3 linked regions of the Daphnia pulex genome follow. The protein of the gene in region 2 binds, or shares a complex with, the protein of the main gene of each other region. Links are inferred from orthologs where the notes say so. Each region holds a gene or a part of one and is shown on either strand. Other genes may lie near its edges.

Region 1 (4,986 bases), on a different chromosome or scaffold from region 2:
GTTTGACTCTCAGTTACAGGAAGAGGAATGATGAAAAAACACCAGGCAAGTTGTCTGATACCAACGACGATACCGATTCTAGTATTAGAATTAAGAAATGTCGAACAAAGAAAGCCTGCTGGTCAAGTGACTCGCAACAAGAAAACGAACAACAGAATCAGGATAATAACATCAACAGACAGCACCGTAGAAGCAAAGGCAGCATCGCCAAATCACTGCACTATGGAATGGAATCAACTAGTGATGAAACCCATTCGATTCCCCTCTATCGGTTAGTGTTACTAAAACTATCAAATGTCTTTCTCGGATTGCATCTGACATTCATTTGCTTTGTTACAGGAAACTTTGCGAAGCTGTAGAGCCTTCTTCGTTTGGCTGTACTCCTCTTCAATGGTCTCCGAGGTCGAACAACAACAAGAACAAGTCCATCATAACTAGTCCGACTAAATCGACACCGCGCCGCGACATATCATCCGGATATGAATCTTTGCTTCAGGAGTGCCACCTCAACAGTACCTTGGATTCCAGTCGCGAAAACGTCATGAACGAAACGGCTAACGGTTCCAGCGGATTTTTGGCGCTGCCTGACACACCTGTCCGTCCCGAAAAACCCAAGCGGCGTTGGCTGCGTGAAGCTCTTACGAGTAACAACGAACAGCTCATTACCAACATGAACCGACCCAGTGTCATAATAGCTTCACCCAGGGTATTTCAACCCAAAAACACGTCCACACCAGATAAACCCAATAACAGCACCTTAATGCGAGCACTCCAAAACGCCGAAAAACAATGGACTGGCGCGATTGCTTTGATGCAGCTGGCCTCTTCAAGTTCGCAGTGCTGAAAAGAAAATGAACATAATGAATTCACCAAAGTTTTGTCTCTCTCAATAACCTATCCTTCCAATTCTGTCAATTTCTAATCTGCTGTTCCATTTCCTTGTAATTGCTCAGTGAAAAACGGTATTATTTTCGCTTATTATGATATTTCTCCATTTCCATCACTACTTTATTTTGAGAACTCTTTCTCGTACCTGAAAGATGAATCGACTGTTCTCTTCACTACTTATTTAATTTACTCTCTCCTTTCGATCCAGTGTCTTGATGAAGCTTTAACCAATCGATTCGTGCTTTTGGTGTTTACTCTTTTAATCTTGCTGATAGAGAAGACCAATACTTAGAACCCAACTGTAGTTTTGAAACGAAACAAAAATTCACTCCATGTTCGTAATTTTCTTAGTGCTGTGTGTTTATGTATCTCGGCCTTTTTAATACAAAGCCATTTTTTCCCACATTACAATTGCACGTCCAAAGGGTGGTACAGTTCACTGAGGAGTCGGTAGATGTAAGACGGTGCATTGCCTCCGCTAGAGAAACAAGTGTGATTATAAAATAGATACTTCTTCATTATCTTCAAACTATTTAAAAATAATTCGCTTACGTATTTGAAATAAAGAGTGTGACGAGCTCTGGAGGTACGTAGTCGAAAATTGGATTGTAGACGTTCACTTTGGAAACGAGCTTGCCTTCGTCGTTGTTCAATACTTCCTCGGGTGACACAAACTGGTTGAATCCATCTTGATCAAGGCTACAGACATATTCGGGACAGAGTTTAAACATTGGTGCACATACGACGAACTGAAATCATAAAAAATAAATTATTTTAGCTGAAAGTGTAGGCCTACAAAACTTATTCCATTACCGGAACCGAATAATGCTTTGCAGCCAGTGCAAGGGTATGAGTGCCACACACTGCTTTTAGACCACCGTTGGCCATAACAGAATGAGTACCGATGATTACTTTATTCACACGTGCCATCATTGCGAAAATGGCAGAATCCGGAATAAGGGTAGTAGAGATACGAGCTTCGGCTAAATCTGCAGCCAATTGATGTCCCTGTAATAATAGTCTGGAGTAAATATACAGGTGTTATGCAAATAAACGTTTTCAAATTCGCTGCCTACGTGGAAAAATGGAGCACATTCAGCAACGATGACCTGGAAAACACGATTTTTCGCAGCTGACTTCAGAAACGCCGAGACAGTTTTAGAATAACCAATAGTCATGATGATTTCGTTAGCGTGAATGTGTTCTAGGGCCTGGGCGGAAATGTCGATTTCACTGTGGAAACAAATTAAGGTAGTTGAATAGGCTGTGAAGCTAGACATGTGGTAAATTCTCAAACCTGGATTCTAATTCGGCAAGGAACTCTCCAATGTGCTCCATGATGGCTGGTTTGAGCAAGGGGATGTTTTTAGTGTAATCAGAATCACTTTCATCTGCTGTGAGAATTTTTTGAAGTGAGTCTTGCAAATCAGATTCTTCTTGTTTTCCTTTCTGCAGCATGGCATACTCATCCCTGACAATCTTTAACATTCTTCTTGTCATGTTGCCAATGACTGTTTCTGAAGGTGCAGTCTCTGCCAAATCTTTACCTATTCTTTTTATGGTGTCCATAAGCTCCCTACAGATTGAATTGAATCACTTAATAACTGGAACAGGAATTCTGGACTTGAGATAAACTAACAAACCTTGCATTCTGCCATTTCATTTGACCAATGATTTTTTTCCAAAGCTGTACGGAATTAAGGGCCAAGTCTCTCGATCCTTTGAACTTTCTACGAATAAAAAGAAACACAGAATGTCAATAACGAGATGGAATAGCCAGCATTACTTCTATGGCCTATAACAATCATACCTTTGCTTAAGATTGTTGGTGAAAGTTTCAATTATACCTTCAATTTCACTTTCAAGACTCGGCATTTTCACACTGATTTTCTATAATTTATTCTGAAATAACTGGTTTAAAGACAGATAATAAAGTGAAGTAGTTCACTGGAGAAAACGAGAATTTTGCAGCGTATTGTTTATTTACAAAGTTCGTCTGCAACTGCAACTGCTACTGCGCGAGTGCCCGATCGCTCAAATACGTACATCATCTTTCGAAGAAAGCCTCTGAAAAAGCGATCTGGTTCGTTATGGTTGGTTATGCCTGGGCTTATGGCATATCCATATCTCTATAGGCCCTACCATACCCCTGGTTATGGTTGGTTTGATAACAGAGTGAGTGTAAGATAAGTAGATAAATTCGTCATCTTTTATGCTTTTACTCGTTATCTTTTATTGTCGTTGCGCACACCTTTAAATTTGTGTTATCTATGATAATTCAACCAATAAGATTATTGGTGCGATTACAATCAGCACTGCCTTAATACCCAATCTAAAACGATAGCCAATCCCGATTGCGTAAAATGTGCAAGTGTACACTCTACGTCAAGACAAAATGTCATCCATAAATTCAGAGTGATTTCGCGTTAACGTTTAATGTTTTTGGGTCTTACTTTGATATGTATCCGGGGCGTTGGAATCAACCACATAATAATATTACGTCAAAGATCGTCGTAACAATTTACGGCCAAGTTTTGATTAGGTCGAAGTAAAATTTTTGGTGAGGGAGCTTTCACCTAACAGCACCACTACCTTTCTCGGTAAAAATGGGCGGCCACACGCTGTCAAGAGGTGCTGCTTAACTATATACAAAACTTGGATCAGCGAACACACGAAGAAAGACAATGGGAAGATCTGACCTGAACCTGTGGGTAAAAAGACAATGGAAATAAAACCCGAATCATCCCACATGGAAAAATGCCATAAAACCCCTCGTCGTGAAAGAGGAAAAATCTGAATTTCAACTTGGTAACAACTTGGTAACACTTCCAAGTTGGATTTCGCTCCTGCATTTATATTCATTCCGTCGTATACGTACAGTATATATTGTGACTTGTTTTTCACGATTACTCTTGACACAATTTTAAATGAATGATGGGCTTCTTACGCTGTCGCCTCTTTAGAATGTTTTTCACATCCTACTACATTTGGAGCAGCGAAATTAGACATTGTCGGGAAACTTATTTTTGTTCGTTTCTGGTGGGCCCTGGTGCCTACGTCTTAATCAATACATCGCCGGCGAAATAATGTGACAGCTAAAGTAAATAAAGACAAACCTGTAGGCGTCGGATACAAGACCATTGATTGAATAAAGCGATAATTTAATCACGGGACGCTCGATGGTGTCTAAGTACCGGGAGCAAGCCCGTTTATTTATAAACAACAATGGAGTCGGAATCAAATTGATTTTGATGTTTTCCGGCCAAAAAAAGAAAAAAAAAAGTTTAATATCTTGACCTATATCTTTGCTGCTGTTTGTGTGGTGGTAAGGCGGCAAATAAAAAACAGTCTAAACTGTTCGGGATCTAGTTTTCTGGTTGCCCGGTTTCTTTTGTTCCCTTTTGCTGGCGAGTGCCGAATCAAATTTGACTCTATAGGGGAAAATGTCCAAAAAATCGAAGCAAAAATCAGCCCAATCAAGAAACTGATATTTGATATCTTTTTCTTTTTTTGTTGTTGTTAACTTTCTCGTCAGAGGAAAGCCGAGAAAAGCAAAAAAAACGAGAAGAAATTCACGTTTCCAACTAAACGGGTGCCTTCTTTTCAGGTTTGCTTGTCCGCACGCTTGTTGTCTATTTAGAATATGCGTCTACTATATAGGAGTTTCCTTTTCCCTTTCTCCTATATAGCTGGTTCAAACCCAAACAAAATAATTTGTTGCCATTATGTATAGAAATTTTTCAAATATTAAACCCAAATTTTTTGTTGTGTTTGTTCCCGGCAAAAAAATGTGACGGCGTAGTATTCCAATTCCTTTTTGATTGGGGGTATAGGAAGAAAAGTTTGGGGCTAAAGGGAAATTTAGAATCATGCAATTCATCAGTAGAGGAAGTAATCAAGTGTGAAAAAAAAAACGGCAATCTAATCAGCGAGAGAAAGTTTGACTTATACGAATAGCTAGAGCGCTATTGTACGGAACCGAAGCTCAAAACTTTTATTTCTATTTTGTTCATAAAGAATTTTTTGGGCAGCGCGCGACACGGAGAACAAGTTTTCGACTCCCTTCCTGCCGACACACTCGCCTAGTAGGTGTCAGCT
Region 2 (5,637 bases):
TATGCTTGGTCGTTCATCTTCTTCTATTATCACAATCTGGAATGGGTATTTATTCAATTTAAAAGTATTAAAAAAAAAAGAGTTTTAGTTTTTGTTACCGACTTATCTATTTCCAGGCATTCTACGAAGTCATCGCTCTGCTTATCGGCATCGCTTCTTGTGTCTACACTTTTAAATCTGTCAACGAAACGGCTTCTTACTTGATGATGCCCTACTTGGTCTGGGTGAGCTTCGCTTCGCTACTCACCTTCACCATTTGGAGAATGAATTTACCAGCAAACAAGAAAAAGATTTAAATGGATAATCGTTTGGTTTGGATTGCTTTCTTTCCATCCCACATTCCAACGTCTTCATTTGATGAGCATTTCCATTTACCGGTTAATCACAAAATTTCTCAAATAAATGCATCCGTTAAAATAATTTTGTACGTCCTTTTTCTTTACGATTTAACCCATTTGGAACTACGAAAGGATTTTCAAAATTGGTTTCTTTCACGACATGAACTGAATCGGTTACTCTTAAATACGCCACCATTACACTTATTACTTATGTGACCAACGCCTGTAATTTTCAATGGTTATCCAAGTAAATGTGAAGTAGTGACATATAAATTGTGAAAAAAGATATACTTCAATAAATTCGATATTTGTTACAGCTCTCAGAAACCAGGACAAATTCAAGTGCGACTTATCAATCCGATTCCTCCGATGATTCCTCTTCCGCTTCTTCCAGCCATGTAATAAATGGTTCCACCTGTTTCAAAACACAAACAAGTTAATAACAGGCCAAGGATCAAGTCAACTTTTCAAGAAATTAAGACGTACAGTTTTCCGGATAGTTTTCAATGCACTGGGATCGTTCGGTGGATTGGTGTACCACTCCAAAATTGCGTCCTCACTCAACACGTCCTCGCCGTACAAAAAATGGAGAACTTTACAAATAGATTTCACAAAATGGGAGTTATGAACTCCAAATTCTTCCAGAGCCTCGAGAGAATCCAACATCGACTGATTGTTTTTCAAGTAATTTCTCATGACAGGAAGAAAGTGCTGCAATATCGGCCTTAGAGCGACCCAATCTTCGTTGGTGCCAGTGGCGGCCTTCTGTAAAAGCCAACCAAATTTCAATCAAACATCTAATACAAAAAGATTCGCCGTTAAAGTTTACCTTAGTCATGACGGATGGCAACGAAAGCATAGCTTTGATAACGAGCATGTTCACCTCTTTCATGGTAACGTTATAAGCGTATTTGGACGAGTTAATTTCAAGAACCAAGTTGTCACCCTTGATTTTTTCTTCGTAGCCTCTTTGAAGACTCTCCAAGACTTCATTATAAAATGCTATAGAAAAATTCAACAAATTAGTAAATTAATTTTTTAGGTTCACATAGGCAACTTACATCTAGCATTCATATCCTCTGGCAGGTCGCCCACGTCCACTTCTTCTTCGTGTTCTTCATCTTCGTCGTTATCAGCTTCGTCTTCGTCTTCATCTTCTTCACTTTCTGAATCTTCATCAATGTCCAAGCCCCATAATTCATCAATCAAAGACTCTGCATCGGAATCTTCTTCGACGGGTCGTTGATAAACGTAAGCGACACTATCGGCACTAAACGGTTTAGCTACCTTATCTAAAAGGGGAAACAAAAATACCAATGTAACTATATTTAAATTAATAGACATACGTATTCAAGTTTGCATTACCATCTTCTTCGTCCGATGTTTCAAAGTCGTTATCACATTTGGGAGGATGGGCCATGAGGCGAGTATTGTCAGGGATTTTGGTACCGGCAGCTAAAACTACTCCGGGTCCAATGACACAGCCTCGGCCGATTTTGACTCCTTCATTTAACACAACACCATCGGCGATGAGAGCTACTTCAATGTGGCAGTTGTTCTAATTAAAAGCAAATTGTTTGATTATTTATCAAAAATAAAATTTTCGCTGGGTCTAACCTTGATGTTAACATCGTCCCAAATATAAGCATTATTGATGTACACGTCGTTTCCGATTGTGCAACGGCTGCCAATGACGGACTGGGTGACGAATGTGCGTTCTCCTATTTTAGAGTTTTCTCCTACCGCCACGTCCCTTTCCAAAACACTTTCCCTATTTCGCAAATAGGGTGTTATCATGGTAACATGGAAATAAAAAAGAGAAAAGGTTATTGTGTACTTGGCCAAGGTGACACCAGGCTGCTTGTAAACATTGTGACGTGATAAAGTGTGTCGAGGAGTTGTTTCACTCCGATTCAAATCGGGAACAAGCGGAAATGCCCATCGTTGAATAACATCTTTGCTGTAAAAATAAACATTTTCGTTACTTGATGAGTAGAATTTAAAATGTTGGAAAGTGTTCCTTACCTCACAGCATCATACATGGGAACGTTCGAAACATGTGCCGCGTATGATCCTTCCAACTGATGGTAGTAGATGGTATTATTAAGAATTTCTTCGTTGATGAGAATACCTCGGACAAAATCTCCCCACGTTTGGTAATCGAAATTGTCGGAAAAAAGCGGCAAAACCACGGGAGAACAAATAGAAATGTGCGTATCAACCAAATCATAGCGCAAATCAACAAGACCGTGCTCTTTAAACATTTCCTGTAGATTTGATATGAAAATCAATAAGAATCGTTGGTTTCGAAACACTGAAAGCAGAAACTCACCAAAGGAAAACTGAGCTTCTTCAGGTTTGTTGTTTGCTGGTAATTGAGAATACGACCGTTGGTGGGATTGATGGCTAAGACGAGTTCTTCTTCTGCAGAACGGGATCGATGACCCGGGAAAGATTTCTTAAAAATGTGTGTCATGACAATCCCTTTATCAGTTTTCCTCTTTTCTCTATTAAAGAGTGCATGAAATCAAAATAAAAACTTGATATGGATTTGATTACAACTTTATAGAGATGTTACAATTTACCTGTGCTCTTCTAATATGGGTATGAGCTGTACATTAGAAATGACATCAGCAGACATCAATATAAAGTCTCCTCTTATCAATGACTTTCCATCTATGTCTCGAAGGGAATCTCCAAGAGATCGACAGTCATCAGGGCTTTGAGAAATAACTTCAATGGACATAGGAGACACAGATCTCATCCATTTAGATTCTTTGAGGTACTGACGAATTTGATCAGCATGTGCAACACAGTAAACAAAGGTTTTCTGTACTCCACTAAGAAGTAGAGATTCCAAGGCATAGTCAATCATGGGCCTATTGACCAGCGGAAGAAGTGCCTGATGTAATAATAGTTAAACAGTTATATGTGTCCTCAACGTTAAAAAATCTAATTGTAGGATCTTCACCTTCGGTTTTGAATCAGTTACAGGTGCGAAGCGTATTGAAAAACTATCAGCGATTAGAACAGCAAGAACAACATCTTCTTGTTTAAGAACTTCAGAACCGGACTTGGACATTGATTTGGAAGTTTTATTGGAGCTCATTCTTTAATTCAGTATTTCAATTCTCTTGTGGCAAAGAAAAGTATTTCTTATAATTTACAACAGCTGTAATAAATAGTGTCCACATGTGAGCTCGTCCAAATTCAAGGAATTGCAGGAAGGGAATGGGATTATGGTAATGAGAAATGATGCAAAATATTGTCTGCTACAAAAGTTACTTTCTTTCGCCGCTAGGCTATCTCAATGGAGCAGACGATCGAATCAAAGTACACATGATTTGATAATGCTGTAAACTACCTAGTACATAATATGTTTTGAGGACCGGTTTTAATTGAAATTACAACCGTGTTGAATAAATTTTCAATCAAGAAAAGTGCTCTAATTTGTTAATGATCTCTGCTTATCCTGCCCAATCTTCATCTACAGTTCAAAGGTACAAGTGTGGGACACACAAAGCTCTTAAAGTATGTTAATTGATTATTGTATTTTTATTTTTCTAGGTTAAATTTGTACCATGAATAGTGTAAGTGAAGCCTGTAGCCAATTGAAGCAAAATTATGATGCATGTTTCAACACATGGTTCACAGAAAAATTCTTAAGAGGGGATCATTCAACAGACTCATGTGGTCCTTTCTTTAAGGTGTATCGTGAATGTGTTAGGGTAAGTTAATTTTGGTCCAACATTTCTGTCTTTTATAGATGTTTATCTACTCTTTTCTGTTTTAGAAAGCAATCCAGGAACAGAATATTGACCTTAAAGAAATAGAAAAAGAAGTAATGGGGACTGAAAATGAATTTAAGACCCCTGATGGTTCTAAATAACCATTGTTTTGGAAAACCATAAATAATAAATCAGCATTTTAAACAAAATGACTACATAGCTTTTTATTTTTCATCTCAAAACTATTCTAAACCTTTCATTTGCCTTGGACAAAAGACTGAAGGCTCTCTAACAAATTAATAAATAGATGGTGTTCCCGCTTGGTAGCTAGATCGCTCAGCTTTTCAGCAAATTCGTTGGATACTCCTCGTTCTTCGAGCAGATTCATCAGAAGGTCGTACATGTACTATAACGAAAATGTGAAATATCAGTTTAATTTGGTTAAAATATTGTTGACTTTAAAATATACCCCATCAAGAATGTCTCCAGCGACAGCATAAGTCTGATCATTATGTTTGTCCTCATATACTGCAAGTTCATCAATAGTGAAAATGTCATCTGAAAAAATCGAGTGTTATTTATATTGTTGGCTATTCAAATACAATTAACACTTACTTGGGGCATCTTCAACAGGCTCTCCTGCATCTTGAATGTAACTGCAGGCAAATCTGGTTACTTGATTTCCCTTCATTAGTTTGACTTCAAAGTGTGGTTTTGATTTCATTTCAGCCTGGGGAGGATTGTCAGCTTTGTTGTCAACTTCCTCACTGATGTCAGCATCAACAGAATGGTTGACGTTAACTGTTATCTCAATTCTGTTTAATGAATAAAATTAAGCCACAAGTTTCAATTTAGAATTGTCCCATAAAGATTTACTCACTGTTCATCATTAAATTTCTTAGACAATACTATCTCTGAACCATTGTGTTTAACATCAAATCCATCCAAGTTAGCGACAGGCCTGGCTTTGCTCATTCCCTTCTTCTCAGCAGCAATTTCCTCTGAGAGGAACTCAATCAGCTCTTTGTCCCCTATGATGCAACATATATTATGCTGTATTTAAATGTGACGTGAAATGGTTAAAATGTATTACCTCTTGTATGAACTCCTCTGCATTCTCCACATGGGCAGGAAGGGCTCAGGGGAGTATGTTTGAATGCTGGAGAAAGTTTTGTTGGGACAAATTGATTTGTGGGATTAGACATGTACCACAAAGACCTGGTAATGGGTTTCGACAGGATAGACCTCATGGACGCCGGTAACGCATGGCGTGAAACGTTTCGAACGACATTTATCACCGAAAATGACATTATGGGAATGAGATTTTGAACTTTAACAGAGTCTTACAAATTGAGATTTTAAAGAATGAATAGAGCGAACGAAGATGAACTTTATCAGCGAATTAAATAATAATTCTGCAAGGGACTGTGGTGCAAGAGCAAGACTGCAAGTTAAGACAAGAATCTTCTGGCAAAAGCAGAAGCCACGAGGAAATATATCGATTATCGAGTTTTTTCCACTATCGATTAATTGTTGTGGGTTTTTGTTTACAACTTAAACTGAACTCAAAC
Region 3 (5,833 bases), on a different chromosome or scaffold from region 2:
CTTAGGCAAAAGACTATACTATGGATTACCTTATTCATCATTGTCATTGTAATTGTTTCGCATAGCTAAATGCTTCATGAAGGGTAAATCAACGCAATATCATTTATTATTTTGAGTTTTCTTACGTATTTTGTTTGCCTAACTAATTTTGTTGTGACGCCCAGGAAAATGACCATAAAATGGGTTTGCTTGATTTTCATGGTAGTGTATTAAACCATTTCTGTGAGTCACTCATTGATTTTGTTGTGACGCCCAGGAAAATGACCATAAAATGGGTTTCTTGATTTTCATAGTGCACTAAACCATTTCTGTGAGTCACTCACTGATATAAATACCATATGATGAGTAGTCATCATGTATGGTAAGCACTGAAATAATTTACCATAATTGTAATGCCTCACGATAAATTTTATTTTGACTGTTAGGCTAATGATTAGAAGTTAGACATGAATATGTATCGTCCTCACCTAAATTTGGATGTGCACGTGTCTGTTTCAGAAAGAAAGTTAAGGACAGGAGAAGATGAGCATTGGTGATACTAAATTTTATTTTATTTTATGCGGATTTAGTCATTAGCTTTTTGTGACTTAGGACAACCACAAAATCCATTAGGTTGTCTGTTGACAGTCTGTTGATGTCTTGTTCAGTAAAAATAAATTTCGTCAACAGTTTTGTTATTGTTACAGGATATTGTTTCTCTTTTAGAGAAGTTCAGTGGAACAAAGGTATTTTGGTGTGTGCTATTCCATTTAAGAAATGTACGTAAATTCATCAATTATGCTAGGCAATATTTTGGGATGAACAACTCACTGGCCCCATTGGTTTGGTGGCAGAATACAGTTTTCTTAAGGAACTAGATGTTGTAAAAATGTTTCAGTTAAAACCTGGGCGCTTGCCTTCCATATCTGTTAAAAATATGCTGTTCATCACAAGACCTGAAGTTGAGCTGATGGATTGTATTGCCGATAACTTGCACAGGTATGAATAATCTACATATTTTAACTTTAAATAGTCAACAATAAGTTAATTTACATTTCAGCGAAGAAAGCCAAGGACATTCTGCTAGTAAGGAATATCAGTTAATTTTTGTCTCCCGACGAAGTGCAGTATGTGAACAGCGGCTCAAGGTTGGTTAAAGTTACTTAAATCAGCGAAGAAGAAATTGTTGACAAAATTATTACTTCATTTAGGACAAAGGAGTGTATGGAACTCTTACTTCTATTGATGAACTGCCTGCTGATTTTTTCCCACTAGATAGTGATGTCATTTCAATGGAACTCGATAATGTTTTCAAGGTATTTATTTATGAGCCAAACTTTGAAAGGGATTGCTTGTCATCAATTTCTTCAAATTTATTCTCAGGATTTATATGTTGACAATGAAATCAGCTCCTTACACCAAATTGCTCATGGGTTAATGTCCCTCCAAAGTTTATATGGCATTTTCCCCAACGTTGTGGGTAAGGGGCGCCATGCCCGTAACGTATTCGAATTGATGACTCGAATGCGACGTGATATTGGGGTAGACTGTGATCCCCCCATGTCTCCGTTGTTCGACACTCTCATGATCATTGATAGGACTGTAGATTTGATAACTCCTGTTGTCACTCAGTTGACCTATGAGGGTCTTATCGACGAATTCCATGGAATAAAACATAGTAAGAAAGTATTGTTAGCTTCTGAGTAAAACAATTATTTTACTTGCATTTTGTGGTTTCATTGTTATTTAGATACAGTCAAGCTTCCAGGAGAAAATTTTCAAGCCTCATCAAATGCGGGCCAGTCACCTCGCTCTGATGGTAGCTCTGTTAAATCTGTTGTTCTAAACTCGGCCGAAGAGCTTTACGCTGATTTGAGGTGAAATTTTTAATCAGACAAATTTTGCTTCCGACAGTTTTAAAGTTATTTATTTTCGCAGGGACAAGAACTTTTCAGCCGTGGGTACTGCACTCAGTCGCAAAGCTAAAGCTATTTCAGCTCAGTAGCCTGGATAACGCCATTGTTGCATTTGGAGGTGTTAAGGTTTCTGCATTCGCACGCGATAGTGGAGAAATATTCCTAGACTCCTTCGATGATTCGGTAATCATGGTTAGTTTAAACTCAATAATATTTCTCCAGCAGTTTTTTTCATCGGGATTTTTTTTTCTTGTGTATTCTCTTTAGATCAACCCGGATATACCTGATGAAAGGGAGCTGAGGGAGTGGCTTAAAGACAATCAGTAAACAAATCCTTTTTTACTGATTGTCTGAAGATCTTAATTACTTGACGTCCTTAAACATCGACTGCAGCTAATTGCCTCCATCTTTTTTCTCGAATTGTTGCCTCCATCTGTTTCCCTGAATTGTTGCCTTGCCTCAAACTTTTTTCCTAAAATATGGCTTCGATCTTGTAACCTGAACTGTTGCCTTTTTACCTCAGCCCTTGTGATGGAGAAATTGGGCCACTGTCTGAGTTTAACTCAAGAATTTCGTAAAATGATAAATGATAAAATAATAATAAATTTATTTCGTAAATGATAAAGAAAAAAAATCCAGGAAATTACAATAAACAAAATCTTACGAAATTCCTACATTTTAATTGTTTTGAAAATATAAGCAAAAGCTTTTAACTGATATCTTGCACGTTAATACCCGAGGGCGAACCTGGAAGGGTCTTGTTTCGTTATTTCTGATCTTACTTAACACATTTTTAGATATCGACAAAAATAAATCGTGGCTTAAAATTTGTATATTTTATCGGAGTAGAAGGAGGAGGAGCTTATTTGTTGGTAATTCAAGCAAGTCTAATAAGTAATAAGTCGCAGGATCCTGAAAAAAGGATAATAAACCGTGAATAATTGCAAATTGGCTCCTCCCTCTTTGTGGGCGGAGTTAAGCTTTCCATGGAGGTGTTTCCACGATTTTGGCCAAACCGCCTCAAACCCGCATCGTGCCCGCATTTTACCCACTGCATTTTGAGAATTTGAGCTAGTGTTTTAGTGTTTTGCTGTTTACAGCTGTTTACGAAACGTGTTTAATTTTGTCTACCGTGAGGTTAAATATCTGCTATTATTTTATTACGATTCATTAAATTAAGGTACCCGTACATACTTTCCGTTTGGTTCGATTTTTTTTAGTTAGAAATGTTTGTGTTGTGCGTTTCTGTAACACCGTTTGTGTTACCTTTCCATGTGCTAACAGATACAAAACGCATCATCCTTTTATTTTCTAATTCTCTCTATGTTTGCTATTTATTAGTTTATATTTGTATTCTAGTGTTCTTTAATCATGGAGTACCAAGCAGTAATAATGGCTGCTGGAAGGGGTTCACGTATGACAGATTTAACTCATGACCGTCCCAAGTGTCTATTACCAATATGCAACAGACCAATGATATGGTTTTCATTAAAAATGTTGGAAAATGCTGGTTTTGAAGGTATTTCAGTTTTTGTTTTGAATAAAGTTACTTTTATGTGACAAGGACTACTTTTTAGATGTCATAGTTGTTATCCATGAACAGTTTCGAGCTGAAGTTGCAGCTATTCCAAGCAAGTATGGTTTGAACATCAAACTGGATATAGCATGTCTTCCAAAAAATGAAGACTTTGGAACAGCTGATTCTCTTAGACTAGTCAAAGACCGAATCAAGGTATAAATCTTTAATAATGCAAGATTTTTATCACATATACTATACCTTTAAATCCAATCGAATTGCAGACTGATGTCCTGGTCATTAGTTGTGACTTGGTATGTGATATACCATTGCACAATGTGTTTGACTTACACAGAACTCATCAATCAAGTGTGACTGCACTTTTTAGCCAGTCCTCTCCAGAAGTAATGTCAACTGCAGTGCCTGGTCCCAAAACAAAATTCAAGCAAGGTATATCTTTCAGCATTCACTAGATTACTTTTAATAACAAAAAATGTATGATAGTATATTCATCAAATAATAATATAAAACTTCCCTTAAAATTTTAGAAAGGGACTTGGTTGGATTGGATCTGCAAACACCTCGTCTGGTTTTCTTAGTCTCAGAAGCAGATTTGACTTCAGAAAACGAGGAGGAACTCTCAATCCGAAAATCAGTGATGAAACATTTCCCACAGATAAGTGTTCAAGGTAACTTGCTTGACGCTCATCTCTACGTTATTAAGAAATGGGTCTGTGATTACATTGCCGAAAACCGGTAAGTCACACCGTTATTTAAATATATTACGCGTTAATGGATAAATCATAAAAACAAACAATTTTTTAACATAGGTCATTCACTATGCTGAAGGGTGAGGTCTTGCCTCATCTTGTGCGAAAACAGTTTATAAAAACTCAAAGGAAAAAAAACGAAAAAGAACTCCCCAATGCGGATGTCTCGGTCGTTTCTTTAAATACTACAAATCGAGGCACTATAAATAGAATTTGAAATCTCTACGTCTAAAGTCTAAATAGTATTATAATTTCTTTTTTTGTAAAGATATTTGCAGCTTCCTTGTTGATGTCGAAGAGGAAGAGAAAATCAGGAGCTACTCTGTTTGGAATGATCATCGTGGTGATTTGCGTGGCCCGTACCAAGACCATAATATCCGCTGTTTCGCTTATGTGGCCAAGGAAGGCTTTTGTCTACGTGCAAACTCGCTGAGCAACTATTGTGAGCTCAACCGACAAGTAAAGAAAGAAATTGTTAACTAGAATCGATCGACGATATTATTATTATTTAAAATGAAATTTAGGTTATTAAAAGATGGAATACAATGTTTCCTGATGAGGAAATCACACCACCCGTATCCAAAGCACAAGTAACGAAGACCCTTATAACTTTTAAATGTTGGATAAACATTATAACATTTTTTATAATATAGGTGGGAACTGATTGCCTTATTGGTGAAACGAGTCAGTTATCGGACAAGTGCTCTATTAAGCATTCGGTTATTGGTCAAGGTTGCAATATTGGAGAAAAAGTTAGGATTACCAATTGTATCATCATGGATAACGTTACGATCATGAAAGAGTAAGATGAGATTATTTATTTTTCTGCTACAACGTATATGAATTGTCTTCTTTTTAGAACAACTCTTCAAGGCAGCATTCTGATGGATAATTCGGTAATTGAGAATAGTTGCGATTTAAAAGACTGCATAGTGGGACATACCGTACATAGCAACTGTAAGTTATACTTTAAATGATAAACAGAAAAGGTTGCCATTCTCACGTTTCAATTCTTCGCACTTAGGCAAATCTACCAACGAAGTTTTGGTTGATGCTGATCGGCTCTTGGAAATATGAGTTTAAGTTATTTGAGATGTTTTTCTCAAATAACTAACTAATAAGTGGTGATAATCCTTCGGGCGATACCTTACAATTGAAAGGCGCTGTTTGCGTGGGCCGTTGGTATGCCTAAATTGCGAGACATCTCCTTGAATTTTGGTTGAAAGTATACAAACAATAAAATTTGCTAATTACATATCTAGTAATATTTTTTTAATTACGATTAAACTTGAACTGAAGAAGATGTATTAAAATTGTGCATCTAGTGATACATCCTTTTTTAACCGCGAAGCAGAAAAAATCTAACCCGAAGCTGAACGAGAATTTGTTTTTATTTCTTATTTAATGTTCTCGGTTGGTTCAACTTTTTCTTCTTAAAAAATAACGACGTCTATTTATTTACTTAAATCCGGATCGTCTATAGGCGTATAAGAATACCGCGACATGATTTAGATACAACTAACTATTTTTTAAATCTATGCGTAGTGTCTGTTTACTTACTGATTTATAATCCGTCTTCTTTTCAATTTACGCGCCGTGAAACATGTTATCAGCAAAAAAAGAATTCTTCATCTCAATCATTCAGTTTCAAA

The links.
Region 1: the proteins of translation initiation factor eIF-2B subunit epsilon-like (region 2) and translation initiation factor eIF-2B subunit beta-like are in contact, whole or in part, in a cryo-EM structure (PDB 6O81), measured with the Homo sapiens proteins. The link is inferred for Daphnia pulex from reciprocal best matches to the Homo sapiens genes EIF2B5 and EIF2B2. Residues at the interface, in NP_003898.2 of Homo sapiens: Glu81, Thr84, Ala85, Thr115, Leu117, Lys186, Glu187, Ser188, Ser189, Ser191, His192, Pro193, Thr194, Leu245, Lys294, Glu295, Tyr296, Asp312, Arg315, Arg316, Trp317, Tyr319, Pro320, Ala325, Asn326, Asp329, Thr336, His337, His340, Asn341; in NP_055054.1 of Homo sapiens: Ser12, Glu13, Glu16, Glu20, Lys23, Arg24, Asp283, Lys287, Phe288, Val289, Ala290, Pro291, Glu292, Glu293, Leu295, Pro296, Phe297, Thr298, Gly300, Asp301, Leu303, Glu304, Val306, Ser307, His309.
Region 3: the proteins of translation initiation factor eIF-2B subunit epsilon-like (region 2) and translation initiation factor eIF-2B subunit gamma-like are in contact, whole or in part, in a cryo-EM structure (PDB 7VLK), measured with the Homo sapiens proteins. The link is inferred for Daphnia pulex from reciprocal best matches to the Homo sapiens genes EIF2B5 and EIF2B3. Residues at the interface, in NP_003898.2 of Homo sapiens: Pro190, Val202, Arg222, Arg223, Phe224, Ala225, Phe226, Pro227, Leu228, Phe231, Gln232, Ser234, Ser235, Asp236, Gly237, Val238, Glu239, Val240, Arg241, Tyr242, Asp243; in NP_065098.1 of Homo sapiens: Arg155, Phe157, Glu178, Glu179, Leu180, Val181, Ile182, Lys183, Gly184, Leu187, Gln188, Pro191, Arg192, Ile193, Arg194, Phe195, His196, Thr197, Gly198.

What each region holds. Positions count from the first base shown.
Region 1 is NC_060019.1:5,859,983-5,864,968, forward strand, and holds translation initiation factor eIF-2B subunit beta-like, read right to left. Parts: upstream 2,904-4,986; 5' UTR 2,764-2,903; coding exon 2,699-2,763; intron 2,619-2,698; coding exon 2,532-2,618; intron 2,465-2,531; coding exon 2,186-2,464; intron 2,122-2,185; coding exon 1,965-2,121; intron 1,897-1,964; coding exon 1,702-1,896; intron 1,638-1,701; coding exon 1,441-1,637; intron 1,367-1,440; coding exon 1,294-1,366; 3' UTR 1,228-1,293; downstream 1-1,227. Other genes in the region: asparagine-rich zinc finger protein AZF1-like, read left to right, coding at 14-271, 340-844. UniProt on the Homo sapiens protein: Acts as a component of the translation initiation factor 2B (eIF2B) complex, which catalyzes the exchange of GDP for GTP on eukaryotic initiation factor 2 (eIF2) gamma subunit.
Region 2 is NC_060026.1:13,821,828-13,827,464, reverse strand, and holds translation initiation factor eIF-2B subunit epsilon-like, read right to left. Parts: upstream 3,620-5,637; 5' UTR 3,448-3,619; coding exon 3,310-3,447; intron 3,241-3,309; coding exon 2,924-3,240; intron 2,846-2,923; coding exon 2,671-2,845; intron 2,606-2,670; coding exon 2,364-2,605; intron 2,299-2,363; coding exon 2,176-2,298; intron 2,110-2,175; coding exon 1,956-2,109; intron 1,897-1,955; coding exon 1,704-1,896; intron 1,631-1,703; coding exon 1,400-1,630; intron 1,341-1,399; coding exon 1,168-1,340; intron 1,104-1,167; coding exon 825-1,103; intron 754-824; coding exon 691-753; 3' UTR 608-690; downstream 1-607. Other genes in the region: translocator protein-like, read left to right, coding at 1-45, 117-296; complement component 1 Q subcomponent-binding protein, mitochondrial-like, read right to left, coding at 4,323-4,472, 4,536-4,624, 4,682-4,881, 4,947-5,097, 5,160-5,376. UniProt on the Homo sapiens protein: Acts as a component of the translation initiation factor 2B (eIF2B) complex, which catalyzes the exchange of GDP for GTP on eukaryotic initiation factor 2 (eIF2) gamma subunit.
Region 3 is NC_060019.1:11,424,839-11,430,671, forward strand, and holds translation initiation factor eIF-2B subunit gamma-like, read left to right. Parts: upstream 1-2,917; 5' UTR 2,918-3,032; exon of another isoform or gene 3,033-3,075; intron 3,076-3,236; exon of another isoform or gene 3,237-3,254; 5' UTR 3,255-3,266; coding exon 3,267-3,414; intron 3,415-3,472; coding exon 3,473-3,627; intron 3,628-3,695; coding exon 3,696-3,861; intron 3,862-3,959; coding exon 3,960-4,167; intron 4,168-4,241; coding exon 4,242-4,378; intron 4,379-4,449; coding exon 4,450-4,640; intron 4,641-4,705; coding exon 4,706-4,771; intron 4,772-4,834; coding exon 4,835-4,983; intron 4,984-5,040; coding exon 5,041-5,138; intron 5,139-5,205; coding exon 5,206-5,258; 3' UTR 5,259-5,436; downstream 5,437-5,833. Other genes in the region: vacuolar protein sorting-associated protein 33A-like, read left to right, coding at 869-978, 1,040-1,127, 1,191-1,295, 1,363-1,657, 1,730-1,856, 1,918-1,984. UniProt on the Homo sapiens protein: Acts as a component of the translation initiation factor 2B (eIF2B) complex, which catalyzes the exchange of GDP for GTP on the eukaryotic initiation factor 2 (eIF2) complex gamma subunit.